Arabidopsis thaliana: one gene and its partners. The protein of the gene in region 3 interacts with the protein of the main gene of each other region in a biochemical or structural test. Each region holds a gene or a part of one and is shown on either strand. Other genes may lie near its edges. The genes, in order: JAZ6, JAZ11 and AT5G45360.

What was found.
Region 1: the proteins of AT5G45360 (region 3) and JAZ6 form a complex in vitro, tested with the Arabidopsis thaliana proteins (one study listed by BioGRID).
Region 2: the proteins of AT5G45360 (region 3) and JAZ11 form a complex in vitro, tested with the Arabidopsis thaliana proteins (one study listed by BioGRID).

What each region holds. Positions count from the first base shown.
Region 1 is NC_003070.9:27,270,508-27,281,572, forward strand, and holds JAZ6 (jasmonate-zim-domain protein 6), read right to left. Parts: upstream 6,056-11,065; 5' UTR 5,630-6,055; coding exon 5,476-5,629; intron 5,161-5,475; coding exon 5,037-5,160; intron 4,885-5,036; coding exon 4,558-4,884; coding exon of another isoform or gene 4,554-4,557; exon of another isoform or gene 4,034-4,553; coding exon 3,829-4,033; 3' UTR 3,461-3,828; downstream 1-3,460. Other genes in the region: EDA25 (CCAAT-binding factor), read right to left, coding at 62-205, 292-375, 475-624, 831-923, 1,142-1,213, 1,314-1,394, 1,488-1,556, 1,794-1,869 and 3 more; AT1G72460 (Leucine-rich repeat protein kinase family protein), read left to right, coding at 9,003-9,899, 9,989-11,026. UniProt on the Arabidopsis thaliana protein: Repressor of jasmonate responses.
Region 2 is NC_003074.8:15,362,308-15,373,589, forward strand, and holds JAZ11 (jasmonate-zim-domain protein 11), read left to right. Parts: upstream 1-5,238; 5' UTR 5,239-5,362; coding exon 5,363-5,469; intron 5,470-5,695; coding exon 5,696-5,780; intron 5,781-5,875; coding exon 5,876-5,978; intron 5,979-6,053; coding exon 6,054-6,111; intron 6,112-6,794; coding exon 6,795-6,891; intron 6,892-6,988; coding exon 6,989-7,121; intron 7,122-7,214; coding exon 7,215-7,272; intron 7,273-7,391; coding exon 7,392-7,467; 3' UTR 7,468-7,850; downstream 7,851-11,282. UniProt on the Arabidopsis thaliana protein: Repressor of jasmonate (JA) responses. Targets MYC2, MYC3 and MYC4 that are JA-dependent transcription activators.
Region 3 is NC_003076.8:18,379,808-18,390,838, reverse strand, and holds AT5G45360 (F-box family protein), read left to right. Parts: upstream 1-3,967; 5' UTR 3,968-4,168; coding exon 4,169-4,231; intron 4,232-4,548; coding exon 4,549-4,752; intron 4,753-4,834; coding exon 4,835-4,908; intron 4,909-5,021; coding exon 5,022-5,097; intron 5,098-5,247; coding exon 5,248-5,358; intron 5,359-5,442; coding exon 5,443-5,617; intron 5,618-5,700; coding exon 5,701-5,877; intron 5,878-5,985; coding exon 5,986-6,056; 3' UTR 6,057-6,350; downstream 6,351-11,031. Other genes in the region: UMAMIT1 (nodulin MtN21 /EamA-like transporter family protein), read right to left, coding at 557-713, 829-980, 1,154-1,595, 1,687-1,803, 1,890-1,952, 2,214-2,428; AT5G45350 (proline-rich family protein), read left to right, coding at 7,985-8,279, 8,501-8,739.

The DNA of each region.
Region 1 (11,065 bases), on a different chromosome or scaffold from region 3:
ACTAAGAATAAAATGACGTGATTGGAACATGGAAAAACAGAAGGTTCAAAGTTTAGCTTGCCTTGGAAGAATTCATTGCGGAGGGGAGTAGAAGTTTCGAGTACAATGCACGGTAAAACCTGTCACTAACAATCTTATTCTTGGATGAGATCTTGTCAAGAAGCATCAGTGATTGGACTCCTACATTGAAATTCGCCGAATGTACCTACATATTCAAAATCCCATTTTCTATATCAATTTTCGGTTGTAACTATGAAACTAAACTTCTATAATGAAGCTTTAAATGGTTACCAGTTTGAAAAGCACTGGCGTCTGGGATTCAATTATATCATCAGCCTCGTCAGTGGAAACATATGGAAAAGCTCTGTTAACTCCCTGCACTTACGGAGTACTAAAGCATAAGTTGATCTGTGAAGTCTCAATACTTTAAAATTACATACATCATGTACACCAAAAAAACACATCCAGACTAACCGTCAGTAGAGCTGATAGAATTCTTGAATCCAACTCAATAGGTGAATCAGTTGACACTTCTTGCTTTGTGTCCTTTGGGTTGGATTTTTTCTTATCAGCGGCTCCTTTGTCATCTGCACCTTGTTTCCTATTTGCTTCTGTAGTTAAAACCTACAAGAATGCAAACACACTTCTGTAGTGAATATCCAACTAGTGAAAGATTTCATGTTATGACTTATGACAAACGCCACCCCAAAAGAAAACACTAAGGGGTAGCAGAAGTCTCTGAGATCATGAAAGTAAGGTGGAAGTGGAGGGACTAAATTTTAAGAAGATCATAAGGAAATGTTAAATTTATTGACTTCAATGCCAGTTACCTTAAACAGGGCAAAATATACATCAATTAGACGTTTTGCCACCTTTGGATCCTCTCCTTTGTGGCTCAATCGGATCTGACTCAAAAAGTTAACCTGTGAAATTTACAAAGATTAATGAGCATTGTTTAGAAAGCTAAACATGGATAAGTTTATGCTTCTTTTCTTTTCTAAAGTCTTAGTAAAATTGTTTCCCATTCAAATCAAAGACAATACTTTAGACGACAATAAGCGTGAATCAGTTTAAAAAGAAGAGCAAGAAAATAAAGAAAAATGGTTCTCGTGAACATAATTAGAGAGAACAATGGACATACAGCATGATACTTTGCTCGTAACCCAAGATGGGGTCGGAAGAGAAAGGAGTCAACTTCATCTATAACCACAGCCTGAAAAAAAATAACATTACATGAGCCAAAGAGAAGAATCCAAACAACCAATTAATAAACGAAATACTGAAACTGGCATAGGAAGGTTGAATAGCCGTACCTTCATGTTAGGATGATCAGCCAAAAGATTTGTCAGATGATAATCAGCATTAGATGCACTCTTGTTTTGAGGATCCCCCAACTATAATATAAAGTAATCCATGGAACAATTAAAGGGATCACAACTGAGAAATTTAAATTAGATACAAATATTTGAATGAACAACAAACAATACCTTGTTCACCAATGACACTAGCAATTTCCGCTCTTGTTCTGATTTGCTTGTCAACATGAAATATATTGTCTGAAACCAAACAAGAAAAAATTTACTGAAGGAAAGATCCGAATCACGTTACCAAGCAAAAAAACTCACTGTAGCTAAAAGAAAACTACGGACCATGCCGTTATGCATCATCCAGAGAAGGATTACATTGATGATACTCAAATCTCTAATATTAAAGCTCATCAAGAATCTTACAAAACCTGGAGACCAGTGCTACTAAACAAGCTAGCACGAGCAGAGTGGTGATAGGATATATACCTTTAAAGCCTTGTCCTTCAGCTCTGGAAGCATATCTTTAGATGATTCATCAAGGGCTGTGACGAAGCGCTCATACCTACAAAGTCAGCATGCTAAGCTGTTAAACGAATCATCGACCCAGAACAATTACGGATAGAAGACACAGATCTTTGACATAGTGTGATTAAACACATCCCTCATGGCATGATTTGAGATCTTTACCTCTGTTTCAAGCAATCCTCCCAGTACCAAAACAGCAAAAGCGAGTAACCATCCTTATTTTCCGGAATGATGTTTAAAGGTCGCTGTAAAAGTGACTTCAGCTTGCGATCAGGTAATAACCTGAAGAAAGAATTTAAAAAACCTCAGTCAATGAGAAAAAGATGCAAGACTGACACATAAATCCATAGCTCATTGTGTGAGTAAGAAAAATGTGCCTGATCAAAATTTCTGATAGAGCCTTAAGACCCTTAAATGCAAATCTTTTTCCAACCTTTGAGGTCACCATTCCTGCAATGAACAGAGTAGATAATGTGAACAAGACATCAACAAAATGCTACAGAGGATTTCACCATTGAAAAACAAAACCAGAAACATACCCAATAAGGCATCAAGAGATCTCATATTTGCAATGGGATTCTCTCCAACCATAATCTCAAAGGCAGTGATTTTATCAGCAACTGTCCCAGACTTTTGAGCAGAAATCACCATCTTCATATCTCCACCTTTTCCTTTCGAAGTTGCAAAGTCCTCTGCGTATTGCCACATCAATCTCTCTCCTAATTCTCTCTTCTTCTCCACCACACCCTTAAAATCCTCCTTATTCGCCACCGCCACTTTCCGGCCACCAAACACCTTCTCCTCAAACTCAGCTGCATCGTTGTACCATTCAGAGCTCAATAAACTCGCTTTCACCAATGGTAACTTAGGCAAACTCTTGAATTCATCGAAACGTTTTTTCTTGTACCCAGTACTCTCATCATCAATCGATAAGAATCCAGGCTTTGGCTTCGGTTGTAACGTTTGCTTCACCGGTGCATCTTTGTTTTGCTTCCTCGCTCCAAAATCTTTTCCCTTTTCATTCCCAATGTTCGATTTTGGCTCTCCTTCTTCATCTTCATCCTTGTGTTGCTGATCCTTCTTAGGCTTTTTCCGTTTCTGGGTTTTGGATTTAGCTGGTTTTCGGAAATCAGTGTCGTTGAAACCCGAAGAAGGAAGAGCAGAAGCTAAGCCAATAGAAGAAGCGAATGATGCGATATCAGATGTGAGAAGACTCAAGTCCTGCGATGATTTACTCAAAGGCTTTATCTTTGACATTTTTTCTCAAAGCATATGAAGAGGGTTAAGAGAGTTTTGTGAGAGATGACTGTTTTTAAAAGAACTGAGACAGTTAGGTTTAAGCAATCTCTGTGCTTTGAGATCGAACAATGAAAAAGAAAGATAAACTTCAATGTTTGGGGTTCAACAGAAATTTTTAGGGTTTTAGAAAACGGCAAGAGAGAAGCAGACAGAGGAAATGGTAGAAGGCTAATTTCGTAATTACGGGATAAGACAAGGGCAAAACAGACTTAACGACCTAAAATCAATGAGACGATGTTTTTTCATTAAGGTTGGGTTCCTGAGACGGTCCAGCCCAATCGCTAGAACATTCAATGCAAATCCATAACTGGTGAGATTTCGATCATGTGGTAAAATATTATACTAATATCTTTGATAGAAACATTATATGTATATCTTTGAAACCTATTATAGGTTAATATACTTTTGCCACTTAGAAAAATTACTAACAACGCAAATCCATCACTGGTGAGATTATATCAGGTGATTAAAAAATTTCGATAAAGGGTAATCCAGATGACAATTTTAATTAAAGAATCTAAAAAACAAGTATCAAAATATGTATGTTTTGAAATATAAATACTAGCTACGTAATACAGTACTATAAATAACTTAAATTGGTCAAAAGTAATGGAAGAAAATATAAAAGGGTATTTGGGTTCAAATCCTAAATAAGTGAAAACTAGAAACGTGAACTCGATCGTGCATTTTATACGCCCTAAAGCTTGAGTTCAAGGTTTTTGGAAGATTGTCCTTCTTTCTTGTCCACCTCCATCGGCATATGGTTATGGGCCTTTGGTTTTGGAGGAGTTGCAATGTGTTGCGACGATTGGCCTGACTTTATCGATGGAGCAACCATCTCTGGCTTGGGAGGAAGATGACTACCGTGTTGGTTCACTTGATATGGAGCTCTAGCCACAGCCCTGAAATCAAAACAATTAATCAACATTTAAGACAAAGTAGATATTGAAGTTTTGATTTACAAAGAACTCTTAGTTAGTGTTTTTTAACTAGAAATTTCTCGACATTTTACTAATAATTTTCCTAGATCAAGGACACATAGATGATGGACTCATATCTCTTATATACTACTCTAGGTCCCATCTCGAATTTCATTGTAACTTGTAAGATTTTTTACATGTTCTTTATAAATGATGACACTTGAGTCACATCTCGAAATCTTACTCTAGGAATCATAATTCATAAACATACTAGGACCACCCTATGTTCAATTTCATGAATGTTCAACTTAAACTTGATTGGTAATACGCTTCTAATCCGATGTGGGATTCCTAGAATAACTCGAATAAGTCTTAATATGGTAATTATTAGCTATTTTTACATATAACTTTTTTAAGAAACTTTGATCCTAATCTATGCATACATTTTGACGAGCGGCCTAGAAAAAGCATAACCAAGCACAAAACAGTTTCGGAGTTTAGTTTACCTGTCTTTTCGTTTAGCAAAGAATCGATGAAGAGAAGCTCTTCTTGCAATGCGTTCCACAACCTGATGTTGCTGCCCAGTTTCTTGATCTTCATTGTTCCCGGAACTCGTTGGCTCGTTAAGATCGGGAATCACCACGTTGCTTTTGTCAAGATTCATGTGACTCTGACTGTTCTTAGAATCAACAGCAACATGATTCGCTTCTTTAGCTACTTCCATTATCTCCTTAGCTTTGTCTTCAGGAAACTCGTTGAAAACCATAACTTTTCCTCCAAAGAATATGGTCAACTGTGAATTTCCAGACTCCGGTGCTACTTTTGCCGGTTCACTAAAATCAAATCAAACCCATTTTTACAATTAGTCAAACTCCATAGTCCATACATCTATAACCGGTAGTTCTTTCTCTAATTCAATTGCTACAAAATGTGAAAACAAACACTTTAGGAGTTCGAATACATATGAAGTTTGTGTGTACAGTACCTGAGATCAATATATATGGCTTTGTCTTCGGTAGAAGTAGAGGCCTCACCAATAGAAAACTTCTGAATCAACTTGAACGGTCTAGTTTCTGAGGTCTCTACCTTCTTAATCACATTTTGTTGTCCTAAAACAAATTAGAACAGAAATTGCAAACCGATTAAAATTTATCAAAATCAAATTACATGTTTATTACGTTTTTTAAAAAACTTCACAGAATCTCTAACTTTAATATACTTAAGCTGTCCAAAATAATACCATGCTTAAGTTTAAAGAAAAGAAAAGAAAAAAATGATTTAAAATTTTGCATTTCAACAAAAAAAATATATAGTTAAACTTTATGCTAATAATCAACGAAGCAGGATACTAAAAGTATATGATATAAACTTTGGTCTTTATAGGCGGCGGCCGTCGGAATAGATAGGGAAAAATAAATAAATACCTTTGAGATCGAATTTTCCGGCGAGTTCAAGATCGGATTTTCGAGCCAACCCCATATTAATATTCCCAAAACTTCCCTTCTCCTTCAAGTACCGGCTGAGCAGACTACATCTCTGAGAAAAATTGGACTTCTCCGGCGCTTGTCCCGTTGACATACTAGTGTGATGAAGATTACAACAACCCAAGATTTTCTTGTGTGACTTCTTTACACGTACAAAAAATCGAGGATTCCAAAGAGTATGTAGATGTTTTGAGCTTTTTGCTCATGTGTTGTTGTTATAAATAACCAATTCTAGCCAATAAGTTTCTGTGGCTTTTAACCTCTCCCGAATAAATAAAGAAAACGAAATAACGTGTTCTTTTTTTTTATTTAGTCTGAAGTGACAGTGATGTGTGTCCAATATAGAATGTTTTTGTCACGAGTTTTGTAACTTTTTTTTTTACACCTAACTGATCGATAGACATTTTTTTTTTTTTTTTGAACACAAAACTGATCAATAGACTAAACACACATTTTTCTTATGATGGTTCAAGAAGAAGAAATTCTTTTTATGGTCAAACATATTATAGGCTATTAATTTCCTATATCCTCAAATGTTTTGTCACGAATAGAAATAGGGAAATAAATTATATGCGGAAAAAATGATTTATTCCTATGGTTGATTACAAAAATCAAACTACAATGTTCGTTACAAGTTCCGGCACGTTTTCATTGCACAAGCCGTGAAGAAACTGTTGTAAGTTGACGGCGACATTACATAAAGGCGTTAACCCATTTAATTCATTCGGGTCCCAAGAGTTTCTGTTAAATACTAATTTACCCTTCTGAGGTAATTCGTTTAGTGGTGGTTAGGATATTCGTTATTAAAGGGCGTAAATGAGGGCATTTGCAAACGCTATAGTCTAACGGAGTTCTGACGGAGTTAAGTCTCGCGTCGGCTGCGATGGCTAATACGAATTTAATATGTGGGATCCATTAGCAACAGTACGACTTGTGAGTGGATATTTATCGATGAATGGTGTCAATTACTTATCCCCGACAAAGTTTAAGGACACGTGAAGTATTGTTATGTGCGTTTAGGATGTCAACACGTGTCGGAATCTTGGCGGTACCAACCTTATTTCATGCATGATTTGCGTTTTTTTTCCCTCTTTGCTAAAGGATATTATAGCGTTCATACTTCATAGGCCTAATTTTCTTTTCTGTTTTTAATTACAAAAACTGAGTGTAATTAATATTAGAATTTGTGGTTTTGTATGTTGGTAAAAGGTTAACGATTTCTGTTTAGTCCTAATATGAATTTTGTTACTTGCTCAGTTAAATATTATTTCTATAACAATAATAATAATAAAATCTTTTAATCGTTTTGTTCAATGAAGTCGAGCGTTGAATTTTATTTGAATAAGAGGCAATGCCAAAGAGTACCAAAAAAGAATTTAAAACAAAATGTCGTAGACGATCGCGCCAAGGGAAAAAATCATTTTTATTGAATTATTTATCGCAACTTGCAAAATGAGAACATAATACTTTGAACTTTGAAGACTCTTCAATATCATATGATTTCAAGAGTTGAACAACAACTTGAGTCTAATATATACACATGTATGTGTGTATTTAATTACACAATATAGATCCATTGTCATTTTCTAATACATACAAAAGACCAAATAATATTCGCTATTTCACATGAAGATTATCTACATTGTTGGAAGCGCAAGTTGGGTTTCGATCACATATTTGATCATGTCCAAAATAAGGGAATGTCATATTCTAACAGATTTGATATGCAAAAATCAAGATTGTGAGAAGATTCTACTAAGACTACCAAACCAACGTTAACGGCAAAAAAGAAAAGGCAACGGCGAAACCTTCCGGTCACCACTCGAAGTTGGACTCTCCTTTAAGCAATAGAGTATATCAACATTTATCAAATAAATAGTTGTTGTTTTGAGACCTAAGTTCATATATGGACATAATCAAGATGGTGTCAACAGTTTTGGGTTAGGTGTGCTTCAGACTTAATCTTTGAGCTGGGTAAGATTTCCTTTCTATCTAGTGTTACGAGCTAGCGTGTCTCTGTAACAGGTTGTCTTCGGGTAAGTTTGGTCTTGCAGCTTGAGCTTGTGGTGGGAATTCTCTGTACAGTCGTTATCTTCATAAATAAAATGGTACTTATCAGAAAATAAAATAAAATTAGAAGACAATATTGAAAGATTATACAACTCATTTGCATTGACGTATGACAATACTAAACATAAAATTTGTTTAAAATTTAGGGGTAACGACTACGAATGTAGGTCCGTTTTACAACAATGACTAAAACAAATTGGTTCTTTGACACCGACAGATACTTTGGATGTGAACACCAAAATGTTGCAGCTTCTTCACATGCTCCTCTTGTACTATGACAATAACATATGTGCCTAAAGATTATCGCATATTAATAAGTATCCATTACATGCGGAACAGGAATAACATTTTTTCAACAATTGCATAATTGAAACCGGATAGAAATACAACAAGGACACTAAGTCAAATCATTAGAATACATGTCATGGTCTACAGAAAATTAATAGATTAGACAAATATTTTGTTTAGTTGCATATAATATCATGAGTAATTGAGTATTAGAGTATTTTACTCATGATACATAAGAAACTTATAACTATTCTTTCGATATTCTCATATTTGGAAATAGTTAGGAACTGTAAAAGCTAAAACTGATTGATGATTACATTTGGTGGCGTCAATTTGTTTTACATTTATCAAATTTCTTTCTTTTTTCGGCATAGGGATACATTTTTTGTCATGCTATAGTGAGTAAATTAGAAATCCGACATAACTAAGCATCAGGAGGAAAATCCAAATGATGAAGTGGTCCACTTAAAAGGTCACGTTAGCTAGAACTGAACCAAATGTTGTACGAGTTTTAAGATTATATGCTCTTGGTCCTAATGCCAAAACCATTTGTTTTTCCCATAAAATTTATTTACATGCGTTATCTTGTAGTATGGCAAAATTTGGAGTATCACTTAATAGTTTTCACACGTAACACGTAAAAAATATAGTTTTGATAGTTGGTTTTACAACACTTTTACTTGATAGTTGTTCTTACAACACTTATACTTGTAATTAAGTCACTTCTACGGTTTAAAAATTATTTATAGAAACGATAATCAACTTTGTCCAAGTTTGGGCTTGGAAACTAAAATCAACATTATTCATATGGGCCAACCAAAAATGCATATCTTTAGCTTATTTTTTATTCGCTCTTGCTTTTCTCAATCTTCTTGACTCTTTCAACGAACATTCGCGCCATAAGCTCCTAAGTTCCTCTCATCCAATGGATCACAAATGACAAAGAAAAACAAAAGACAGAGAAAACAGAGACAAAGCGAGAAACAAGACAAGGAATACAGAAAAATTAGTAAATCGAATCACCAAAAAAAAAAAAAAAACTACTTTGATTAATCAAAAAAAAAAAAGAGTTGCTTGAAACTCCCGGCGGCCTAGCTCCGGTTAAGTAAATGGCCGTGGCTTGGCTAATCTGGCCAATCGTGCTATCTCTAACAGCACTTTCTGCGAATTCGATAACCGAATCAGAATCTTTATTGAAATTCAAGAAGTCCTTAAACAACACCAAGTCTCTTGATTCTTGGACACCAGAGTCAGAACCTTGTGGAGCAAGCCAACGATGGATCGGATTACTCTGCAACAAAAACTCTGTCTTTGGCCTCCAGATCGAACAAATGGGTCTATCAGGAAAAGTTGATGTCGCTCCGTTAAAAGACCTACCATCTTTACGCACCATAAGCATAATGAACAACTCTTTCTCTGGTGACATACCCGAGTTTAACAGATTAACCGCTCTGAAGTCGCTTTACATATCAGGAAATCGATTCTCTGGTAACATTCCTTCTGATTATTTCGAAACAATGGTGTCGCTAAAGAAAGCTTGGCTGTCAAACAACCATTTCTCTGGTCTCATTCCTATCTCATTGGCAACTACATTGCCAAATCTCATTGAGTTACGCCTCGAAAATAATCAATTCATCGGGAGTATACCTAATTTCACACAAACGACTTTAGCTATTGTTGATCTATCAAACAACCAACTAACCGGAGAAATACCTCCCGGTTTGTTGAAATTCGACGCGAAGACTTTTGCGGGGAATTCTGGCCTTTGCGGTGCCAAGCTATCCACTCCATGCCCACAACCAAAAAATTCGACTGCATCCATAACGATAGAAGGAACAATGAAAGATGCAAATAAGAGCAAATACTTTCTAGCATTCAGCACATTAGGAGTGCTTCTTATCGTCGTCCTTGTCTCCTTAGCTTTCAGAAAAAAGAAAAAGAAGAGACGGAGGAAGAAGGCACGTCGTACCTCTGAACAAGACAATAGTGACGACCAACAAATTCAGGTTACTTCCACTACACGTAATTTTCACATTTTCAAATGAGAGTTTTTAAACCTATAAAATCACACAAAATTTTGATATGATTGAGACAGGTAACTGTTGAGGGATCAAATAGCTCAAGGCAGAGTAGGAGCAGTCGGTCCGGCGAATTGAATAAAGGAGTGGCGGGGACATCAGACCTAGTTATGGTGAACAAGGAAAAAGGTGTTTTCCGTTTATCAGACTTGATGAAAGCGGCGGCTCACGTGCTTGGTAATCCCGGCGGTGGAAGCAACCGTCCAAGAAGTAGCGGAGGCGTGGGATCTGCCTACAAAGCGGTTCTTTCAAACGGTGTCACGGTAGTGGTGAAACGTGTGACGGTAATGAATCAAGTGAGTGTTGACGTATTCGACAAGGAGATTAGGAAACTAGGAAGCTTGCAACACAAGAACGTATTAACGCCCCTAGCTTACCATTTCCGACAAGACGAGAAATTGCTAGTGTTCGAATTTGTTCCTAATTTGAATTTGCTTCACCGATTACACGGAGACCACGAAGAATTTCAATTAGATTGGCCTTCTCGACTCAAAATCATTCAAGGAATCGCTAGGGGAATGTGGTATCTCCATAGAGAATTAGGGTTTCTAAACCTACCACATGGAAACCTAAAATCAAGCAATATATTTCTTGCGGAAGACGGCGAGCCACTCATCTCCGAATTTGGACTTCAAAAACTAATCAATCCCGACGCTCAATCTCAATCTCTCGTCGCGTTTAAATCTCCAGAAGCGGATCGTGATGGAACCGTCTCTGCGAAATCTGATGTATTTAGTTTCGGAGTCGTGGTACTTGAGATCTTGACCGGAAAATTCCCGTCTCAATACGCTGGTTTGAACAGAGCCGGTGGGGCAAATTTGGTTGAGTGGTTAGGCTCCGCATTGGAACAAGGTGGTTGGATGGATCTGCTTCATCCGATGGTGGTAACCGCCGCCGCTGAAGATAAAATTATGGAGGAGGAAATTGAGAACGTTTTAAGGATCGGTGTGAGATGTACCAGAGAAGATCCAGATCAGAGACCGAATATGACTGAAGTCGTTGATGAACTGACTATTGAAGATTCTAACGACGACTTTATCACCATAGAAACTTAGCTTCACCGTCGATCAATTCCAACCGTTAGATTCATGCAG
Region 2 (11,282 bases), on a different chromosome or scaffold from region 3:
GGCATTAGGTAATGCGGACTGGTTCGACACTTTTCCTTCGGCTATTGCTGAGTTTGGCCCTCCTGAAGATTCTGATGATGCTCCTTGCATAATTAACTTGGCCAATAATCCACAACGCTCAAAGAAGTCTTTCAAGTATTTCTCATTCTTGGCTTCGCATCCCACCTTTATGGCCTCTATTCTTGAGGCTCGGAGCAGAAACACATTTGTTGGCTCTAATATGTTTCTCTTAGAGGAGCACCTTAAGGAGATTAAAAAAGAGTGTAGAAGATTGAATAGAGCAGGGTTTGGTAATCTTCAGCAGCGCACTAGCGAAGCCTTGGCTGCCTTAGAAGATATTCAGTCTCAATTACTTTCTCTTCCCTTAGATTCTCTCTTTAGACGAGAGCATATGGCTAGAAAAAATGGGATTTCTTTGCTGTGGCCTTGGAGTCTTTTTATAGACAAAAGTCAAGAATCAGGTGGCTAAAAGAAGGGGATGCTAATACTCGGTTCTTCCGTAGAGCTTTCCTTGCTCATCAGGCTAGAAATCTTATCAAGCAGTTGCGTGGTGACAATGATATTTTGGTTGTTAACGTGGATCAAGTCAAAGATATGATTGTGGCGTATTACTCTCACCTTCTCGGCTCTGAAAATGACTCAACTATTCCTTTATCTATTAAAGTTATAAAGGTCTTACATCCTTTCCGGTGTGATGAGTCTCTGGCTACTCTGTTGTCTGCTATTCCTACTGATGAAGAGATTATAGGGTCACTGTTCTCAATGCCTAAGAACAAGGCGCTCAATCCAGATGGTTTTCCTGTGGATTTTTTTTGGGATTCGTGGGCTGTGGTGAACGATACTGTTATTTTTGCTGTGAGGGAATTCTTTCTTACATCTATTGAAGAAGTTCAATGCAACTGCCATTACTCTTATTCTTAAGGAATGTGGGACAGACAAATTATCTAAGTTCAGACCGGTTTCTTGTTGGAATACAATTTACAAAATTTACTAGAATCATTTCCAAGCGCCTCAAGCTGTTCAGAACTCAAGCAGTTCAAGGGAATCAAGTGGGTTTTATAAAAGGAAGGATGCTTTGTGAAAATGTGTTGTTAGCTTCTGAACTAGTTGAAGGGTTACATATTGAAGGTGAAGTAACTAAGGGCTGCTTACAAATTGATCTTACCAAGGCTTATGACAATGTCAGCAGGGAGTTTCTAATCAACATCCTTGTGGCTTTGGATCTTCCTCCTATTTTTATAAACTTGATCCGGGTTTGCATATCTACTCCTTATATAGTATTGCTTTTAATGGTGAGTTGATTGGGTTTTTTCAGGGTAAAAAAGAAATCAGACAAGGAGATCCCATGTCTTCTCATATATTTGTGCATATCATGAATATTCTAGCAAATTCACTGGATAAGGGCGCAGTTGAAGGCCGTTTCATGCTTCACCCTTAGTGTTCAGCCCCTCTCATTACTCATCTCAGCTTTGCCGATGATGTGTTAGTCTTCTTTGACGGTTCTAAGGATTCTGTTGCTGGGATCATATCCATTCTTGATGAGTTCAGAATTGGTTCTCGTCTTGGAATAAACAGGCAAAAAACGGCTTGGATGGTGGTGACTTGCATAATGTGGCCACTATCTCTGAGCGTTTTGGTGTTTCTCAGGGTGTTCTTCCGGTTCGTTATCTGGGGATTCCCCTAATGATCTAGAAGATGAAAAAACAAGATTATCAACCTCTTCTTGACAGAATTAATAAAAAGTTCTCCTCTTGGACTGTCAGACATCTCTCCTTTGCTGGTCGGCTTCGGTTGCTGAAATCTGTGATCTTTGCTACCATCAACTTCTTGGTGTCAGTTTTCCTCCTTCCAAACCAATGTCTCCAAAAGATTGAGCAGATGTGTAATGCCTTTCTTTGGAAAGGTCTGCCTACCTACGCTAGAGGTGCAAAGATCACTTGGAACGTAGTATGTACGCCTAAGCAAAGTGATGGCTTTGGGTTGAAAAGGTTGATCTCTTGGAATACGGTTTTCGTTTTGAAACTTATCTGGTTGTTTTTCACTAAGGCTAGTTCTCTTTGGGTTTCTTGGATGAGGATTAATCTTATTGGTAACCGGAATTTTTGGGATCTGAATCCTTACTACTCAGGGAGTTGGATTTGAAAACGTTTGTGCAAACTTTGTAACCTGGCGAGACCTTTTTTGGTGTGTGAGGTGGGTTAAGGAATTACAACAAGTTTTTGGCATGATAACTGGATGGGGTTGTGGCCGCTGATTGATCTCTCGGGTCCATTAGGACCTCAAGTTATCGGGTTGAACAAAAAAGCGGTTGTTAGAGACGCAACATCTTGCAATGGATGGAAGATCATGACTTCTCGAAGTCGTAATCCCATCATTTCGACGATCAAAAACGCCCTGCCATATTGGATTGATATCATTGATTGTGAAGTGGATGATGTCTATCTTTGGAAGCTCGAGCATCATCCACCCACACCATTGTTCTCCTCTACTCTAACTTGGCTCGCTTTGCACCCATCTACCTGTCCGGTTCTGTGGCATAAATCTATATGGTTTAAGGACTATATTCCAAATCATGCGTTCATCAATTGGGTTGTGGCTTGGAACAGGGCTTCACACTAGGGACCGAATGCGGAGTTGGGGAATTTCTATTCCCACGGATTGTGTCCTTTGCTCTGGAAGTTCGGAGTCTAGAGATCACCTCTTCTTTGAGTGTGACTTTAGTCTGGCGGTCTGGAGTCACTTCAGGAATAGAACAAGATTATCTCCTCCGGTCCCCTTCATGGCCTGCCTCTTATGGATTAATTCGGCTTCGTGTGATGCTTATCTCTGTCTCATCATCAAGCTAGTGTTCCAAGCCTCTATTTATCTCTTATGGAAAGAACGCAATCGTCAGATCCATTCTCATGCTCCCCGTACCTCTGCTTTGATCATCGAGGAACTTAAGGTTATTCTATGGTCAAAGCTTGATCCCATTTCTCGGCGTAGTGAATTTGATTCTCCAGGATCCTCTCTGCTCTCTACTTGGTTTCGTTTCTTCAGCTAAGGGCAGTTCCTTCGTTCTCTGTTCTTCTTTTTGGGCTGTTTGGGTCTTGTTGGGCCATTCAAGTTTAGTTTCGGGCCTGCGTGACTTGGATTTGGGCTTCTTGCCGTGTATATTTTTCGGGCTTGCGTGCCTTTTTTTGGACTCTTTGTTTTGTAACTTGCTTTTATCTTTAATGGAAATTTAAACCTAAAAAAAAAGAAAAGATTGGGTGGGCAAATGCATGTTACCTACTGATGTTACCGAGTATCTCAAGTACTAACAACAGCTCTATGTTTCTCAAAAGGAAAGTCTCAAAGCGACGACGTATTATTTTCACGCACGTTTTAAATTCTTGATGCCTTTTTTTGTTTTATTCTTTTTTCTTAAGTTACACATTTAAACAAACAAAAAAGAACAAAATGAGAAAGAAATAGATTGTTTTCGAGCTTTCTCTCTCTTCTCTCTCTAAAAAATCTTAGAGAAAAGGGAAAGTTTTCTCTTTTGTTTCGCTGGCCTGATGGCATTCCGACGTTTATGTGTTTTAATATAGTTGGGTTTTATATCTAACATCTCTGTCGTTTTTAGCAGTGATGGCTGGCTCTTGCCTGACAGCGTTCGAATTCCATGACCATCGTTGGCCGGATCTACTTTTCTTATCAGTGTATCTGATGTTTTTTTTTTTTTTTTTCTTTCAATAATCTCATAGATCCTCTATTGGAAATTTAGGTGTTTTTTTGCTTAAAGGTGTTTATTATCCAATTTGATCTTTTGAGTTTGCGATTTGCAGGAATCAATCCAAAGAGTTACATCTTAAGTTGCAGAAAAGAAAACAATTTCATTGCACACTAATATTGCTTTTAGCTGTAAATCTCTATTTTGATGTTCGATTGGTTTATGAACAATGAAACCTAGAAGAATCAAGCTTGCTTTTATAATCAATGATGATTTTTCTCACTGGAATCGATCTCAGATGGCGAATGATCTACAATTGAGGCTATTTGTCTAATTGATCTATGGACACGAGTGTTTTCCTTTTTGTTTTTAGGTGTTGCTGAAAAGCTCCATCGGCTTAATATCTACGTTGATGTTCTTTGGAGTTCGGGAGTCATTGCCCTTGTGAAGATCTTTTCTTTACAGATTTGATGATGTAGTTGGTAGGATTCTCTAGTTAAAAACCTGTGGACTTATTTCTTGAAGCTCTGACGGTTTTCGGTAGTTTTGGAGTTCCCTTACGCTTCGTACCATATCGGCTATGAGCGGCGAACGGCGACAACATCTACTTCAACTTTACTTCATAGGCTCACACATGGTTTTGTGTTGGATTTGTTATATTTCTTAGTTCCTTAAAGGGGTATCTTTATGGATTGGACTTTTTAAGTTGGGTCTCCGCTTATAAGCTGAATTGTTGGTGAAGTGGAAGCTTCCACTGTTGTACCTTTTACGACATAGAGTTTTAAATAGAAGAGAAAATTCCCAAAAAAAACTTCAACTATTAAAATTTGCCAAAAAAACCTCAACTTTTTCGGTTGTCAAAAAACTCAAACTAATTTATTAGTGACAAATAAAACCCAAACTAGAAATATTGGCAGATTATACATACGCTCTAAAAACAAATTATAGTTTTATCCTTAAAAAATTAATTCTTTTTTTTTTGAAACGAAAAGAAATTTCTTATTTACTTTGTATTTTTTTAGTTTATACGTTTTTGCCTTTTTGGAAATTATCATAGAAAAATGATATGAGTGTCTCATTTTTAATTCTCTTTTCATATATTTTTACTTTTTAGATTTTCAAACTTTAAAAACCAAATCGTTTCTCTATTTCTTTTTTTTTTGCTTATTTCTTTCTAATTTTTGGTTCCTCAATATCAAAATGATTCAATGTTCTTCGACTAATTTACATATTTTGATTTTTTCATCATAATTATATAGTTAGCTTTGTGTTAATATATCTTATTTAATTTATTTTAGCAATACGATAACGGCGGTATGCATGTACTAAAAAGGATGCGTAAAGAGTATTAAGTTTTTCACATCGAACAAAATTGTCCACTATTTTATTTTTTTAAATAGTTGTCTATATTACAAGAACAAATGAAAATAAATAGGTATTATTAGATAAGTAGTTTTTTTTTTTGGTAAGGCATTATTACTTATTAGATAAGTAGTTAGATATATAAAATAATCAAATAGTTGAGGTTTTTTTGGAATATTTCTGAGAAAAACAAAAAGAAAACAAAATTGATTGAATAATGAATACACCGAATAACGAACGTTGCGTAGAGAAGAGAACCAATTCCCAATCAAACGGAGAAGACAGATATTATTCACAGAGAGGCTCATGGCTGAGGTAAACGGAGATTTCCCCGTTCCTAGTTTCGCCGACGGGACCGGTTCTGTTTCCGCCGGACTTGACTTGCTCGTTGAGAGATCGATTCACGAAGCTAGGTATGTATCACTAGTAACTGGAATCAATTTGAATCGTTAATTCTCATTTCTCTTTATCTGTCTTTGTGTTTGAAGTTTTTTCTTAGCCTATAGTTCTGTGATTTGTTAGTTCTTAGTACACTATAGGAGCGTGAGCAATTGACGAGACTTGGATCTATATGAATTGTTAAATTAGCAGATCAATTTGGGAAACTCAAGAGGTTTAATTTCAAACTCTTGTTTCAAGGTCCACAGAGCCAGATGCTTCAACTCAACTTACTATTATCTTTGGTGGGAGTTGTAGAGTCTTCAATGGTGTCCCTGCACAAAAGGTTTGGTCCATCTAGCTTTGAGTACATACATTCTGATTTTGTTTATGTTGGTTGCATCAGAGTTTCTAATTGTATTGGTGATCAATGCTTAATAGGTTCAAGAAATCATTCGCATCGCTTTTGCTGGTAAACAGACGAAGAATGTGACCGGTATCAATCCAGCACTGAACAGAGCTCTTTCTTTCTCAACTGTAGCTGGTAAGCAATTGCTTCATTCGGTTACTGTAAGCATTATCTACGGAGTTACGGACTATTAATCCCTGTTTGTCTCAGATCTTCCAATTGCTAGGAGACGTTCGCTTCAAAGATTTCTCGAGAAGAGACGGGACAGGTAGTTAGATATTCAGTGTTTGCTTTATTAACATATTGATAGTTCTGGAAGTGTTAGTGTGTATGAATCTGATTTGTTAGTATGTATTAGTTTGTGACGTCAAATATTGTTCTTGCATTTAGGAATTTTCATGTGTAGGTAGGTTGTTGAAGCTTAAGCAAATGAAGAGACTGGATCTATGTGAATGTTAATTTGTATACATTGACTGGTTTCGGAAACTGAGATAGTCTTTTAGTTTTTTTTCTTACAAGTGTTTAAGCTTTTATTCTCATGTATTATTCTACTTCTATATCATATTTGGCTGACTTATGGCCACCAGATAATTGTGTATTTCTTAGTGATCATGCCTCACAAATACATTAGATGTTGTTGCCCATTCTTTAGTATCGGTTTTATGAGCTTGAATTTGAACTAGGCTTGTGTGTTTGATTTTGGTACCGTTGAATGCAAAAATAGCCTTCTATCTACTGTTAGATGACATCATCAGATGATTTAAATTTAGTAGGTTGTTTGAACTGATGTATTGATGGGACTGAGGTTAGTTGATAGCCTAAGCGGCTGTAATATTGTAGTGGAATCACTATTTTGTTCTTCTCCCTTTTGCATCAATAGGGTCTTAAAATTTGGGTGGATTATTATTATCTTCCATCATTCATAACTAGCTCTTGTTTCTTCTATTGAAGGTCCACGAAGCCAGATGGTTCAATGATCCTTCCAAGTCAACTAACCATTATTTTTGGTGGGAGTTTTAGCGTATTTGATGGTATTCCAGCTGAAAAGGTTTGGTCCATCCAAGTTTTGAGTACATTCGTATTTCGTTTTTGTTGGGAAGCAGTTGCATGAGATTTCTTGTTCTCTTGGTGATCACACTTAATAGGTTCAAGAAATTCTGCATATCGCTGCTGCAGCTAAAGCCACTGAGACAATTAATTTGACCAGTATAAATCCAGCATTAAAGAGAGCTATTTCATTCTCAAACGCATCAACAGTAGCTTGCGTATCGACAGCAGGTAAGGACTTGCTACATTGGATTACCGTAAACGTTATATAGTCCGAGTATGGAAAACCCCATGAGCTTTATGTAAGATGCATGTTTATCTCAGATGTGCCAATTGCTAGGAGACGTTCACTTCAAAGATTTTTTGAGAAAAGACGGCATCGGTAGGCATATCTGCAGTGCTTGTTTTATAAACATATACTCTCATCTTTCTCCATCACTCACCTATGAGTTTGACCATTAGATTTCATCTAATAGTAACTTGGACCCTCTTTATTTTCAGATTTGTCCACACGAAGCCTTACTCTGCTACGACTTCGGAAGCAGACAAAAATGAAACCAGCCCCATTGTGACATGAGCTCCAAGACTGTAAGCTAACCTCAAACCTTACTTTCGAAGCAACTCAGTATCACAGTTATCTTTGACAAGATTAACACAGCTCATATATAAGCCTTCCGTTGTTGTACGATAATCATCTGCCTATGTTTCTTAGACAAAACACAAAATTGTTTTCCATGTTTGTGATTTGATGTGTTTATCATCTCGCACCTCCTCTTTGAGGAAGATGATTTCTTTTTCTTCACAATGTATGTTGATGCTGTATGATAAGGTCTCAGAGCTATATAAGAACACAAGAGTACTCAAAAATGACCATGAAAGACTTAGTGTCCTTATAAGCAAATCACGACCAAGAAACATACAGAGAAATCATCAAATACTAACCGGAGAGATTAGTAGGGACCTCAGATCAAAATTTTCAGGTCTGGTTAGGCATGTGATTATTACCAGAACCAAAATTTTCAAACCAAGCCAATCCAGTTTTTGGTCATTTCAATTTAGGGTCGGTCACTAAAAGTGAACAGGTCGGCATAATTTTTTAGTACATATATTTAACATGTGCCCAAGTTATGACAAACGATGAAACATAACATATTTATTATAAATGATTTATACATCATAACTCATAAAAACATCAAAATTATGAAATATTTTGGTAGCGCTACCATAACCACTCAATCATCCGACTGAAATCATCAAAATAAAAAAATATTTTCTAACTTTTTTTATATTTACATAAATATATCTACAAAATGATCCCGTATAAACTTGTAATAAATTATATATGTGCATTTTTCAAGACCAAATCTCTAAGATCAAAGACTAATGCTACCACATCATTCAACGAAACAATGCAAATAAATTTTGGGATAACTTTAACTTTGATCATCTTTTAAAGTATTTAAGGATTTTACATACAAATTTGTAATTTAAAGGGTTCACAAACGGCAACAAAAAACAAAAAAAGGTTTACTAACGAATTTGTAATTTTAAGAAGATCAAAATATAAGAAATATAAATAATATCATAAATTTTAAAGGGTTATAATGCAAATGTTGAACTTTAGGAAACCAGCTGACCTCCTTTAATCGTCTTTGGATGTCTATGCGGCGGACCCATAAATACTTTTTATGGGTCCATCAAATATAATTTAAAAATAATAAGTAATTAAAAACAACCAAAAACTAAAAAAAAAAAAACTCATCTCTTTAAGTTTACATATGAATTTGTAATTTTAAAAAGGAAAAAACAAAATAATTTTAAAGGTCTACAATACAAATATAGAATTTTAGAGGGGTCGTCTGACCCCTTTTAATCTTTTTGGGTCTGTCGCGTGGGCAGACCCATAAATACTTTATATCAGATCAAAATATAACTTAAAATAATTAGTAATTTAAAAAAAAAAACTAACAAGTTTTAAAAAATATTATTAGTTTAAAATATACCGCAAATTAGGTTCAATATTTATGGGTGAATCACATTAAAAGGCTAAAAGTATCAAAACACAAAGTAGAAGAAAATATATAATAAAACTTAAAAGGTTTACATCAAATTTGTAATTTTAAAAGGGTCAAAACATATGAAATATAAATAATATCATAAATTTTAAAGGGCTATAACACAAATGTAGATTTTTAGTTGGGTCAGCTGGCCTTCTTTAATCTTTGCTCTTTGGATCTGCCTATGCGGCGGACCCATAAATACTTTTTACTAGGTCAAAATATAATTTAAATAATTAATAGTTTAAAAAGATTAAAAAACTAAAAAAAATATTCATTTGCTTATTATATACCATAGAGAATGATTCCCAATTTTTTTTTTGTCGGCAATGATTCCCAATTTTAAATACAGAGAATGATATAATCATAATTTATTTATTTAAATATTCATACATTGACAATAACTGAGTACATCCATGATTCTTTATTTTTGAATCATAATGTCCTTTCTTCGATTATTATTCGCTTACAAACAACACTCTTATAAAATATTTTCATAGAGGAATTAAGCACGATCATTGCTCGGAAAGTTTTGTATACTAGTTTCATCACTACCGATATATAGATAATTCAAGATAAATAACATTCATATTTAGGGGTGTCAAAGTGGGTCAAGATTTATGGATCAACTCAACTCAACGCAACTTTTGAACCCTAATGAGTTGAAATTTTTGACTCAAATGAGTTGATGGGTCAAATGAGTTATTGGGTCAATTGGTTTGATGAATAAAATGAGTTGGGTTGTAATGATTAATGGTTTCAATGGTTTACCCAATTAACCCATTAACCCATAACTCATTTAACCCTAAACTCATTTGATTATGAGTTGAGTTGAGTTGGGTAACCCATTTTGACACCCCATATAACCAAAAGAATAAAAAAAAAAGATAAGTTGGAGAGTAGACAGTTTTTGCTAAAATAATTTGAAAAGTAGACATTTTTTTTTAGAGATAGGAGGCATATGTAGTTTTATCTCTCCTCTCTAATAGAACTCCCTCTCAAATACAACTTTTAGTAAAGTACTATTTTACCCTTCTGTTGTTTTGATGAAATAAAATGGACCTCATTAAAAGCAGCCCAATATCATCTTCAATTTCGAATTGTTCATGGGCTTGACATCAACTAAACCCCATATTTTCTTAAGTCATTAGAACCAAACACACTCATAAACCCTCGTCGTCGACATCTTCATCTGTACGGTAAAGACCTCGTCGTTGTCAAAAAAGGATAAACCCTCGTCGTTGCCAAAATCATAGAGACATTGTCAATTTCATACCAGATGGAAGGTATGTTTATCATAAAACGCTTTAAAGTTTTTGAATTTTTGCTGTCAGCCAACTAATAACTTTGACTCTGTTTTCGTTTTTTTTCAGGGGACGAATCATGCGTCTCCATGGTCGGCCGCTGGATTTGCTACTCGAATGGTTGGTGGGACTTCAAAATTGATAAAACTAGGCCAGGAAAGGGGAAAATGCTTAATTATTTCCTAAAATATCCAAAATGCGCAGATTAATTCCCCAATTACCTCAGACGCATAATAAACTCCCAATTATACTTTGACGTAGCAAAGTTAGACTTCATTATTGTCAACGTTAAATATTAAACATGTCGTTAAATATGTCGATTCTCATCTTCTTCTTCTCCAAATCAAAAACCCTAAATTCCTAAAGCTTTATCTTTAAACTCGAAACAATCAACTGTAAATCTACTTTCCAAACTTATCTTCCCTAAATCAAACATCAAAACCTAATCCGATTGGCAAAACGAAAGTTTTAATTTTGCAAACTGAACCATGACAGGAAGAAGACGAAAGCTTCCAATACGAAGGTATGCACAAAACGATAGGTGGAATCAAAATTGTTTCTAATATTAAATCCATTGATGTTTCTTTTACTTGTGGTTTCTGATTTTATTGTAGTTCAATACCCGTTCCTTATTTTGCTTTTATCAATTAGTTTACGGTGTTCATGTTATTAGTTTCTATGGTTGTTCGGCTATGATGTAGATATTTTTATTTTTATAGGACACTAAATGAAGAAACAGTTGAATCTGATGGTGAACGAAGGGTGCATGAAGAAGAGATAGAATCTGATGCTAATGTAGGTGTGGAGGAAGATTTTTGTGAAGTGATTGTCGAAGATATGGGTGGATATAAAGAGACAGAACCTGATTTGGCTGAGTTTGAGGTAGCGGATAATCACTATGTTGATGTAGAGATCTGTGAAAACTTAGAAGACCATTTTGGAGACATTGCATGTGGAGATGAAAATGGTGATTCTAATGATAATGGGGATGATATTCGGGATGATGAAAATATTCCAGATCCATTATCAGA
Region 3 (11,031 bases):
AAATGCGTGGAATATGTTAGATATAGATAATATATATTGATTCTTGATTCTCATGAGCTCGTCTATGTGTGTATGTCGCAAAGACATACCACTCTGTTGGAATTATGGAATAGACACTATCTTCACAAATTCAAGATAATATGTTGCTAAAACTTTTGTTGTCTTCTTCCCAGCTTATATCACACTGACATGTAAGTATGTAACATGTCCGTTGACATATATAATGTTTTCCTTTTTGTTAATCGTGCTTGTCTTTAGGTACAATGACTTTTTAAGTGTTCTTGATTCCTTTTATCTAAGATTGAATTTAAAATATACGCTTCTTTGTCACCCAACTAAAAAACGTATTGAAACAACCAATTCTTAAAATAAAAATAGAGATTTGTTTCCATAGTTGAACTTGCATTACCAAAAAAGAGGCGAAGTAATTATTTTGAATTATTTACCGTTTAAAGAATCAATGTTTGAACTCGAAAAAATTGTATGATTTGTCAAGTTTTTGTCTGATATTAACTACGTACAACGGTACAAGTATCCTTTCTTTACCTTTTCTTATTTATTTACCAGTCTCATCTCTGTAAATGAAAGGTTCCGAGATTCTTACATCACTAGAAGAAGCAATCTCATTCCCAGCTGATGTTGTTTGTTGCTCTCTGTAAGATGCCCAAGTAACCATATAAAGCCCGCAAATGATGAGGATTCCACCCAAAACGCTGCGGAGAGAACAAAAACCAAGGTGTTTATATGATCCAATACAAGAAGACAGAAAGGTTTGTATGTGTCTGGATGAATCAAAGATACAAAGAAGAGTGCATAAAATTTAAAAACCTTCCAAGATAGATCGGGCTGCCGAGGAAAATTGTCGATAAAAAGGCCGATGTTGCAGGCTGAAGAGGATTGTATAGGGAAACCAAAGCAGCTCCAAGAATTTTATTGGACCAAGTCAAGAGTCCATAGTTTAGAGCTGAGGCAAACACTCCCTGAGGAATAAAAACCGAAAAGAAAACAATTAAACACAAACTAGTAAGATGAATCCGTATGTACAGAATCGAGTTCCAATCTTTTTGAGTTCAAGTTCAAATGATTTGAGCTCAAGCTCCAAAACACAAACACACCCAAATAAACATATTACATCTCGGTTGTGAAAACTTACTGCGAATATAACAGCAAGAACCTCAGATTGTGTTAAGCTCCAATCTTTAGGCTCTCTAACAAACAAGATAGCTGTTGTGATCATTATTGATGCACCGAAGAAGTATGAATACGCAGCAACCGAAAGGTAGGCAGGATACTTCTTCAAAACCGGTGCTTGGACAGCGAGAAAAGCAGCCATACACATACAGTTTCCAATCAAACATAAAACTCCAATGTGCCATTGATCAAACCCAAGACCAAGAAAACTAGAGACTAACCACCCATTAAGCTCTGGTTGACTTCTATCAATAATTACACTTTTCACTGAATCTGCTGCATCTTTACCTCCAAACAAGGCTGGACCACGAAACAAAGCCATCGCTATAGCACCCGAAACACAAACAAGAGTACCTCCAACTTTCGTTTGGCCCTCGACTTTCAACAAGTTCACTTTTTCTGTACTGTATACAAAGAAGAAGACCATCAAAAGATTGAAACTTTATATTACAAATTTTCACATTTTACAGTAATGTTGAGGAAACTCATACTCACCCCATCAAGACAGCCAAGAGAAATGTAAAGACAGGGATTGATGGTTGTATAGCAGCAGCATAAGTTGGATTCGTGTAAGATAAACCCATAAGAAATAGTAACTGGTTCCCAAATATCCTATCAAGATTGAGATTGAATGTTGTTATTAGAATCTTTCATTAGCATGATTCAAAAGATAAAGAGATACAAGCTGATTACTTTACCCTGCTAAACCAAGAAAGAAGAGTGAAAAGAAGATGCTTCTATTCATAGGAGGTCTGATCGTTCTACAAGAAATTAAAAGAGCAAATCTTTATCAAAAGACAAATCCAAGTCACACAAAATTGCAATCCATCATTAAACAATAGAACCAGAATTAACAAAGAAAAACAACCCTAATTCCAATTCCAGAGAGATCAAACTATTTGTCTGATTTTGCCGCATATAAACTCATCAAAACAATCAGAAACAGAGACTTCAGAGACTTTAGCAATTCAAGCAAAAGGATAAAGAAACAGAGAGATTTTGAGAAGAAGATAAAAAGGGACCTTTCACGGAAAAAAGCGAGAGGTGCGAGAATGGAGAGAGCAAGAAGATCGCGAAAGACACAAAAAACGAGCTGATTTACACCAACGTTAAGAGCTACTTTCGTAACCACATGGTATCCTCCATTTATGACCTGAACCAATGTCATTGCAGAGTGAGCCATTCGTGTTTCTCTCTCCGTCGCATCGCCGCCGTTTAGGATCGCCGGAGCTGCCATTTTTCTTCTCTACCTCCGAATCGAGGAAGAAGAGAAGGAACACCTGTTGACTAAAGAAATTGAGATCCTTTGATTTGCTCTGTAAATTGTAATTCTAACTTCTCTGTTTTTTCGTTCCAAAAAAAAAAAAAACTTCTCTGGTCATTGTAGTCGTTGGTCTTCTTCAATTTGTTAACTATGATTTTTTGTTAAGTTGAGGCAAAAAAAAATTTGCCAGATTATTTTCTTAAATCTTATACACATTGAAGCCTAACAGATTAACACATTTGTTAAATATGCTCATATATCCTACTTAAAAAATATGAAAATTTTCCACAAAAAATGGTGTAATATAAAAATTCGGTTTACTCGGGTTAAACGGTTCGGTTTGTTCGGTTTTCCGGGTTTTTCGGTTTTCAAAAATTCTGCCGAATTGAACCGAACAAAAATTCGGTTCGGTTCGGTTCGGTACTCGGTTTTTTCGGTTCGGTTACTAGGATTTATAATTCGCCGAAATTAAACCGAATTTTTTTTAATCGGTTAACCTAATCAGTTTAGATCACAATATTAGGCATAGTGGGCTGTTTTTAAAGCCCATATCGGCTTTTGACATTTAAAAACCCAAAACTTTTTTTTTGAGGGACAAGTAAAGTCAAAAAGCCCATGACGGTTTTTAACTTTTCAAAACCCAAATTCTTTTTTTCCAGGGACAAGAAAAGCCCATCACACCCATCTAGGGTTTTGTTTTGTTTTATTTTTTGGAAATGACGGCCGTCAAAGAAAAACAAGGGTGAGATGAAGAAGAAGAACATTGAAAACAGAGAAAATAGATTTGTATTGTGCGGTGGTGAGAAAAGATGTAGAGAACCATGAAATCATTGCCAGAGAAGATCGATGTCGCGGTGGCTTAATAGAATATTTCTGCGAACCTAAAAGGTGGAGAAGAAGAACGAAGACAAGGAGAAGAAGGAGGAATAAGGAAGAATTAGAAGGTTAAAAGATAAAAATGGGTTAGAGATGAGGAGAAATAAAGGTGTTCGTGAAGAGGAGAGTTTAGAAAACAAAGAAGATGAAGTGATAGATCTAGGATTTTTCTGTTTTAAAAGGTATCTCCCCAATCCGAACAAAACCGATCGGTTTTGATGAACCGAACCGAAAAACCCGAAAACCGAAATCAATTTAAAATTCTACCGAACGATTTACAACAGAAAATCGGTTTGAAACCGAAAACCGAAATCGTCGGTTTGTTCGGTTCGGTTTAAACGGGTTATGCCGAACTTCCAGGCCTAATTTTTACAGTGTAATACTGAAGTTGGTAAAATATGCCTTTATTTATGTCGATTAGTGGATCTAGTAATATAACATTTCCTTAAATGAAAAAACTCCTTAAAAAGTAGTTGCTGATCCAATAACAAATGTTCTGTTTTAAGAAAATTTAATTATAGTAGTAGTTCGAACGTCGTTAACTCGTAATAATAATTCAGAAAAATGTTGTTATTTAATCACGTTTAGAAAGCTAATTTGTATTAATGACGCTAACGACAAGGAGGAGGGTTAGTGTTATGGGCTTATTTATTAATATATGGCCCATTTAGGTTATTAGCCCATTTATCAAAATTATTCGGCCCGAGGTCGTCTCCAATCTCACGCCACCGATTCCAAACGCCAACCCTCTCGAGTCTTGTCTCTCTCCAATCCTTTCCTTGGCCGCATAAACGCAACCATCGTCGTCGGAGCTTTGATCTTCACCGACTGAAAAGTATGTCTGTTTCCGATGAGGAAGATGAGTGTTTCGCTCGATTCCTCGAATCAGAAGTCTCATCGGTATAAAAATTTCTCCGTTTATTCAAATTTTCGATTTCATTTAGGGTTTAGTAATTTCTTCTCCATCAATCTTTGAATTTTGTAGCTGAATCTGAAATTCTGTCGAGATTTTCCCGTTCCCCTAGTTTTTTTTTTCATTTTTGATAACTTCAGTTCCTTGATCTGTAAATTTGATCTTATATGCATACATTTGAAATTTTTGAAAAATCACATAATTTTTGTTCATGTTCTTCGATTGATGTCCATTGTGATTTTGCTCTTGTTCAGCGTTGTCCTGTGAAAGGTTAGATTATTTATTGATGCTTTGGTTTTTGTAGGTAGAGGATAAAGAAGAAACGAAAGAACCTGAGGCAAAACGGCAACGTATTGAGAAAGGCGAAACAAAGGCTCTAGAGAAGGATGAAGATCAAAAGGAAAATGGTAACAAAGATAAAACTGATGCAAAGAGAATAGAGAGTGGAGTTTTCACCAATGTTCCTACTGAGCTGTTTCGTCATATTCTCAAGTTCTTATCTTCGGAGGTATATACTATATAGTTCAAACTCGAACTTTATTGATGTTTGAGGATTGCTTTTAAACTAAATTGTTTGAATGTCATTACAGGATCTTGTATCATGCTCCTTGGTTTGTAAATTTCTCAATTTTGCTGCGGCTGATGAATCCTTATGGCGTCGCCTGTAAGCCTCTTCTTGTACCCCTTATTGTCGTTGATAATCTTGTTTTCAAAATCAATACTTTGTATTCAAAAACGATGTGATGATCTTATTGGTTGTTTTTTGTTTATATGCAGGTACTGTATCCGGTGGGGTCTAACTCTTCCAAGTAGAAAGTTACGTGAATCTGCTTGGAAGAAGCTTTATATTGATGTGAGTTTCTCCTTGGTTTTTCGTATAAACTTGTTAGATGTTTCCAAGTAGTATTACATTGCTGAAGAATATACAGTGTTAGTTTGCGTTGCTAGTAGAAGTCAGATCATATATATTTTTAAGTGATTCCTTTCTCTTGTCGAATTTTAGCGTGATGAACAGGACATGATTGAACTTGTCAGAACCTGTCCGTCGGATTTCAAGGAGTATTACGTACATATGCAAGCAGCAAAGAGAAGCCAAGCACCTCTTCCGTCCCAGGTAACTATTTATAATTATCTGTTTATGTTTTAGGACAAATCATCACGTGAAGAATTTTCTCATGTTCTTGTTTGCAATTTTTAGATGGTGGATGACCGGATAATTCTTGACAATACTGTACTTGAACAAGTTTCTCTATGGAAGAAAAGCAAAGGACTTACTGATAAGGCTGTCACTGGCCATATTTGTTTGGGAACCAAATGTTCATACCATCAGATTGACGACGTGTTCATATGCAAAGAGACGGGAAATGTTCATGGTATGTAATGAAATGCTGTAAAATGTAACTTTGTTACTGTGTTTTACTCTAAACTTACATAGTTTTTATGGTCTTTATAACAGTATGCGATGATAACTGCAAGGAAGTAATACTGAGTCCAGAGGGTGACCTCATGGTGTGTACTATCTCAGGAGTTTGTTCTGATACTTTACTTGTACAAACTGAGCCAGACGCAGATGGGTGTTATGAGGAAGAAGCTGAACTAGAAGCTGAAGTATTCACAGATAAAAGCCGATTAGGTACACATCTATCTATCTCTTTCTCATATCTCTCACACACTTCCTTTTCCAAATATTATTTTTATTTTCCAACATAAGTGAACTATTTGCGTCTTCTTTTCATCGCAGCCCGAGCTTTTGAACTTGGCTACAACTGCGATGATGAGCAGGAACTGGAACGTACCCTGAGGTTCTGCTGAGCAAAAGTCTCGACCTTTTGTCCAATTTCATAAGGCCTACTTTCTGTAAGGTCTTCTCTCTCTCTCTCTCTCTGACCTGATTCTGCCTGGGTTCTGTGGAGTTGAAATGAATCAAATGTAGCTCTTGTTTTAATCAGTCAGCTTTGTAACGTATACATATATATCATTGTATGTGATTAACATTGTCCTTAAAAAGTGTTACACCTAGTAATTACGTTCCAACTTTATCAGTAAACCTATTGGTAACTAGTAATTTGCTCCCGATATTGGTTTTCTCATTAATTTTTATAGCCATTCTTTGTTCATTTAAACCATATTACAAATTTGTCCTGGTTAGAACTGATTATGATGACAAATCGATGATTAGTTCAAAATGAAGTTTATAGCAATATATTCTAATAACTATACATCAATTATCACCACTGATGTGTTTGAATGAAAAATGAATTGATAATCTTAATAAATGTTTGATTTTATAGATAAGTATAAAGTATGAATGGATTTAGAAAATTTTAGTATTTAGTGAGATAAGCATAAGCAAAACTAGAAAAATGAAATTATTATTAAATAAATTCATTAATACACATTGGCAATGTGACATTGCCTAAAATCAAATATGTACTAATTCAATTAATGTTAATAAGAATTTTTTGGATTCGATTCTCTTGCGAAAGTGCAAATTAAAAGACATTCTTATCTCCTACGTAAACAGAATCACGCGTCCATTGCGCGTTCTCGCAACGCTAAAATATTTACGTTGGAAAATATTCTCATAATTCTCTCCTTTGCCCCCACAGTTTAATATATTTCATAAACACCCCCACGAGAAATTAAAAACCGTTCCAAATTTGAAAAAATACAACAAACAATTCATGAAAATATTCAATCTATAAGCAAAACATTGGTAGTGTTACATGTGTCGTCCTTCGTGCTGAAAATTTGGATAGCATTGTTAATTATGACAACGTAAGTGTAGCCTGTGATTCATAGTAAAATATAAGGACTAAAAATAAAAATATATCTTTTTTGGAAATCGTACCGCGTAAGAAACATGTATAAATACCTATAAGGTCTTATTTTTTTCTCTTCCAATTTCGTTTCGACATATTTCGCGATTCGTCTAAGGTAAAAAAAAACTCATCTTTTTTTCTTTTAGATCGTTAATTTTTGATCAGCGATTCGCTCTTCTGATCTGTGTTCTTTAAGCTTGTCTTCTCTCTTGATTCGATCTGCTGAAAACCTAGAAATTTTTGATTTTTTTGTTTGTTTTGCTCCATGTGTATGGGTATATTTACGATTTTAACAAAACAAAAATATGAATTGAGGTTTTTTATTTAGCGAATTGGGTTTTAATTGTTCACATTCGTTTGGCTCTCTCGAGGTGAGTGATAAAGTATAGAACTTTCTTATGCTTAGGATCTTAAATTCGAGTTCTTTGATTTACCTGTCATGTGTTATTGATTGATCTCATTTATATTGTGTCTGCTTGATGTTTAAAGCTTGGTGTATGCAATTTGATTGGGTTTACTGGAGATTGATCTGTGACCTAATCAATGAGTGATAACATTGCTGGTTCATCTGATTTCTCATCTGGTGTGTCTGCTCGATTCCCTGAAGAAAGTTTGAAACTCAGGCTTGGTTTGTGCAGTTTGATTGATTTATCTCATTACTTGACTCTGGTGTACTTGATTCTTTGATGAAAGCTTGAAGTTAATGTTTGGTTTGTGCAATATGATTGGGATTAACTGCATTTGATCTCTGACCAAAATCAGTGATTAATTACATTGCTTGGTTATCTCATTACTTGAGTTTGGTGTTCCTGCATGATCCCCTGAGCTTGAAGTTCATGCTTGGTTTGTCCAATTGTGACCTAAATTGATGTTTTCTTGTGGTATCTTTTCGTAGGTTTTGTTACTGATTGAGAAAACATGGGAGGTGACAATGATAATGACAAAGACAAAGGGTTTCATGGGTATCCTCCCGCTGGATACCCACCCCCTGGGGCTTATCCACCCGCTGGATACCCACAACAAGGTTACCCTCCACCACCCGGTGCTTACCCGCCTGCAGGTTATCCTCCGGGTGCCTACCCACCTGCTCCTGGTGGTTATCCTCCCGCCCCTGGTTATGGTGGTTATCCTCCAGCTCCTGGTTATGGAGGTTATCCTCCTGCACCTGGTCATGGTGGTTACCCTCCTGCTGGCTATCCTGCTCATCACTCAGGTACTGTGTTTCTTTTGCTAATGGTTTTTTTCTCCCATGTAGTTTGCCAGTTAAGTGTTGTAATGGTCACTGTACAAACAAGTTAAAATAGGAGAAGTTGTTTATATGTTGTTTTGTGATTGTCTGTATGTTCATTGCTAAAATCTGAGATTTAGTATCATATTTGGTGTTAAATGTCACTTTGGTTTCTTTATTCATGCTGTTATTTATACTTGTTTCAGGACACGCAGGAGGAATTGGGGGTATGATTGCAGGTGCTGCAGCTGCCTATGGAGCTCACCACGTAGCTCATAGCTCTCACGGTCCTTACGGACATGCTGCATATGGTCACGGTTTTGGCCATGGTCATGGCTATGGCTATGGTCATGGTCATGGTAAGTTCAAGCATGGGAAGCACGGGAAGTTCAAGCATGGGAAGCATGGAATGTTTGGAGGAGGCAAGTTCAAGAAGTGGAAGTGATCTAGTTAATACCTTTTGTGAATCTGTCTGGACTGACCAATGTTTCAAATAAGCCCTAAACATTATATAAGTTGACTTTCGTCGGTTAGATTGCTGGTTCGAGTTGGAATAATTGAAACTTAATTAGTATCAAATCTTATTGTGTACTTTAAAGCTATCGTTGGCTTTATAATGACAGATTCTGGTTTCGGTGTGTTGTTTTAAGATTTTTGTATATACTGTTTTTTACATTGCTTAAGCTTATAGAAGTCATGATTATGATTAATTGTTATCTTAAACAGACAAATCACTTAATTATTCTCTATACTATATACAAATATATACAATTAGAGCTAGATTAGGATGAGTTTACAACGGGTTGAATCAACTTACGTTGGTCCATCGCAACTTCTCTACTTACACTTGGCCAGAAGGAAAAAAAGAATAAACGAAGGAAAAAAGAGCTTTGATTTTGAGTGAGCTTTGGTGTTGTGGCATATGAAATGCTCTGTTTTTGTTATTAAAAATATATAAATGGCCAGACCTGAGTTGAGGGAAAGTTTTGGTGGATGATGAAACTCCATGATCCGAATTCGATCTTCTTGTAAACAAAAACACATTTTTTTAGGAAGTTTGTTAGTTGGGTTTTGTTCCAATTGGTTTACATAGTTAGAAATGCAGACGGCTTGACTAACCACTGCATTAGTTAAAAGGCGCTCCAAACTCGGATCATGCAATATGATGGCCCAATTGAGGATCTCACGGATCTCATGAATTTCATGGTCCGTTCAACCTGAGTCCGCTCGTAGATCATATCCATTGAATCGTTGAGCCACAAGAGTAGTTTACTATGTAGCATCTCGGTGCGTTCCTATTAGGGGTAACTGGATCACCTGATCTTCTTTATTTTGACACGCTTTTTATCAAAAAAAACTAATCAAAAAAAAAACTCATATAAATGGTGTTTATGATTGTTCTTCTTTATTTTGACACGCTTTTTATGTATAGCAAAAATCTAATCATTGTTCAAGAATGTGAATCACATTCAAAACGTACAAAATAGTATAACATTCATTGATTAGAATGAAAATTCGGTATACAATACTCCATGTGTTCCTAATTAATCCAAGCTTTTATACGTAAAAAAAAGTTTCAAGAAGATATAATTTTTTAAATATTTTATGCATTTTATTAGTTACTGATAATGAATACTAATGGTTTTAGAGTTACAAAAAATTGTTAATCACAAAAAATGATGTATTTATAATCAACTTCTTTGGTTTTTACTATGTGTAAAAAATCTAAAAAATTGGATTAACTAAGAATAAAGGGACTATTGATTTTTGGTAGAATTAATCAAATAACATTAAATAACTGAGGAAACAAAAATTAAGTAACAAATTAGTGAAATGGTTTCGGAATAAACCAAAGACTTTCTAAAACTAAAAATGTGGATTAAATATTTCGACACGTGGACTTGTTTAGTCAAAAAAAAAAATCAAAAGTAAAGACTTTCTGAATAGATCATTGGATTTTCCAAAGTTGGCATGTAAAAAGAAATAACCGTAGAGAAAACAAAAATCACCCAAAATAATGGCTTTCGAGAAAGCTAAGAGGTACTACAGCAGGAATATTCTTGTGATTAAAATCTTGGACTTAGAGTGTTTCATTTAATTAATTAGTGATTGCAAATTTAATCAATTAATGAGTTGGCTTCCTTGTATTGATTCGTCCTTTCGTTGTACGTATGACGTACTTTTTTGCATTATCATAATTAACCCTAGAAAATCAGATGTCTTCCACTTTTGCTTTGTGTTTAATTGTATTTTCTTTATAAAGTCAAAATATGAATCACATCATCAAGATATCAAAATGTGGAGTTCTATAAACTAATCCGTTGACATACCACTAAACTTTATTTTCACAATATATGTATGTGCAATTTATTCGGAAAACAGTCACTTTTAGTACAATAATTCAAGAATTTTGGTGACACAACGTTATTTTTTATTTCGTTTTCATCGTAATTAAAATATACATAGCGTACAAATTTAGAATATATAATCTAAAAAGATTGATTGATATCAAATATAGCTTAGCTCCAATATGTTATGATGACTATACTTCTTAATGTTTCGCTATTTTTGTTTTAACTATTAATCTTTTAGTAAATTTTTGAAAAGATTTCTGCTCAAATTATAGACCAAGTGAGATTCAAAAAATGTGTCCGAAAACAAGTTATATGAAATCGTCAGTGTCTGTAAAACTCAACGTTCATTTTTGGTATGAAGGTTATTTTAAAATAAAAATAAA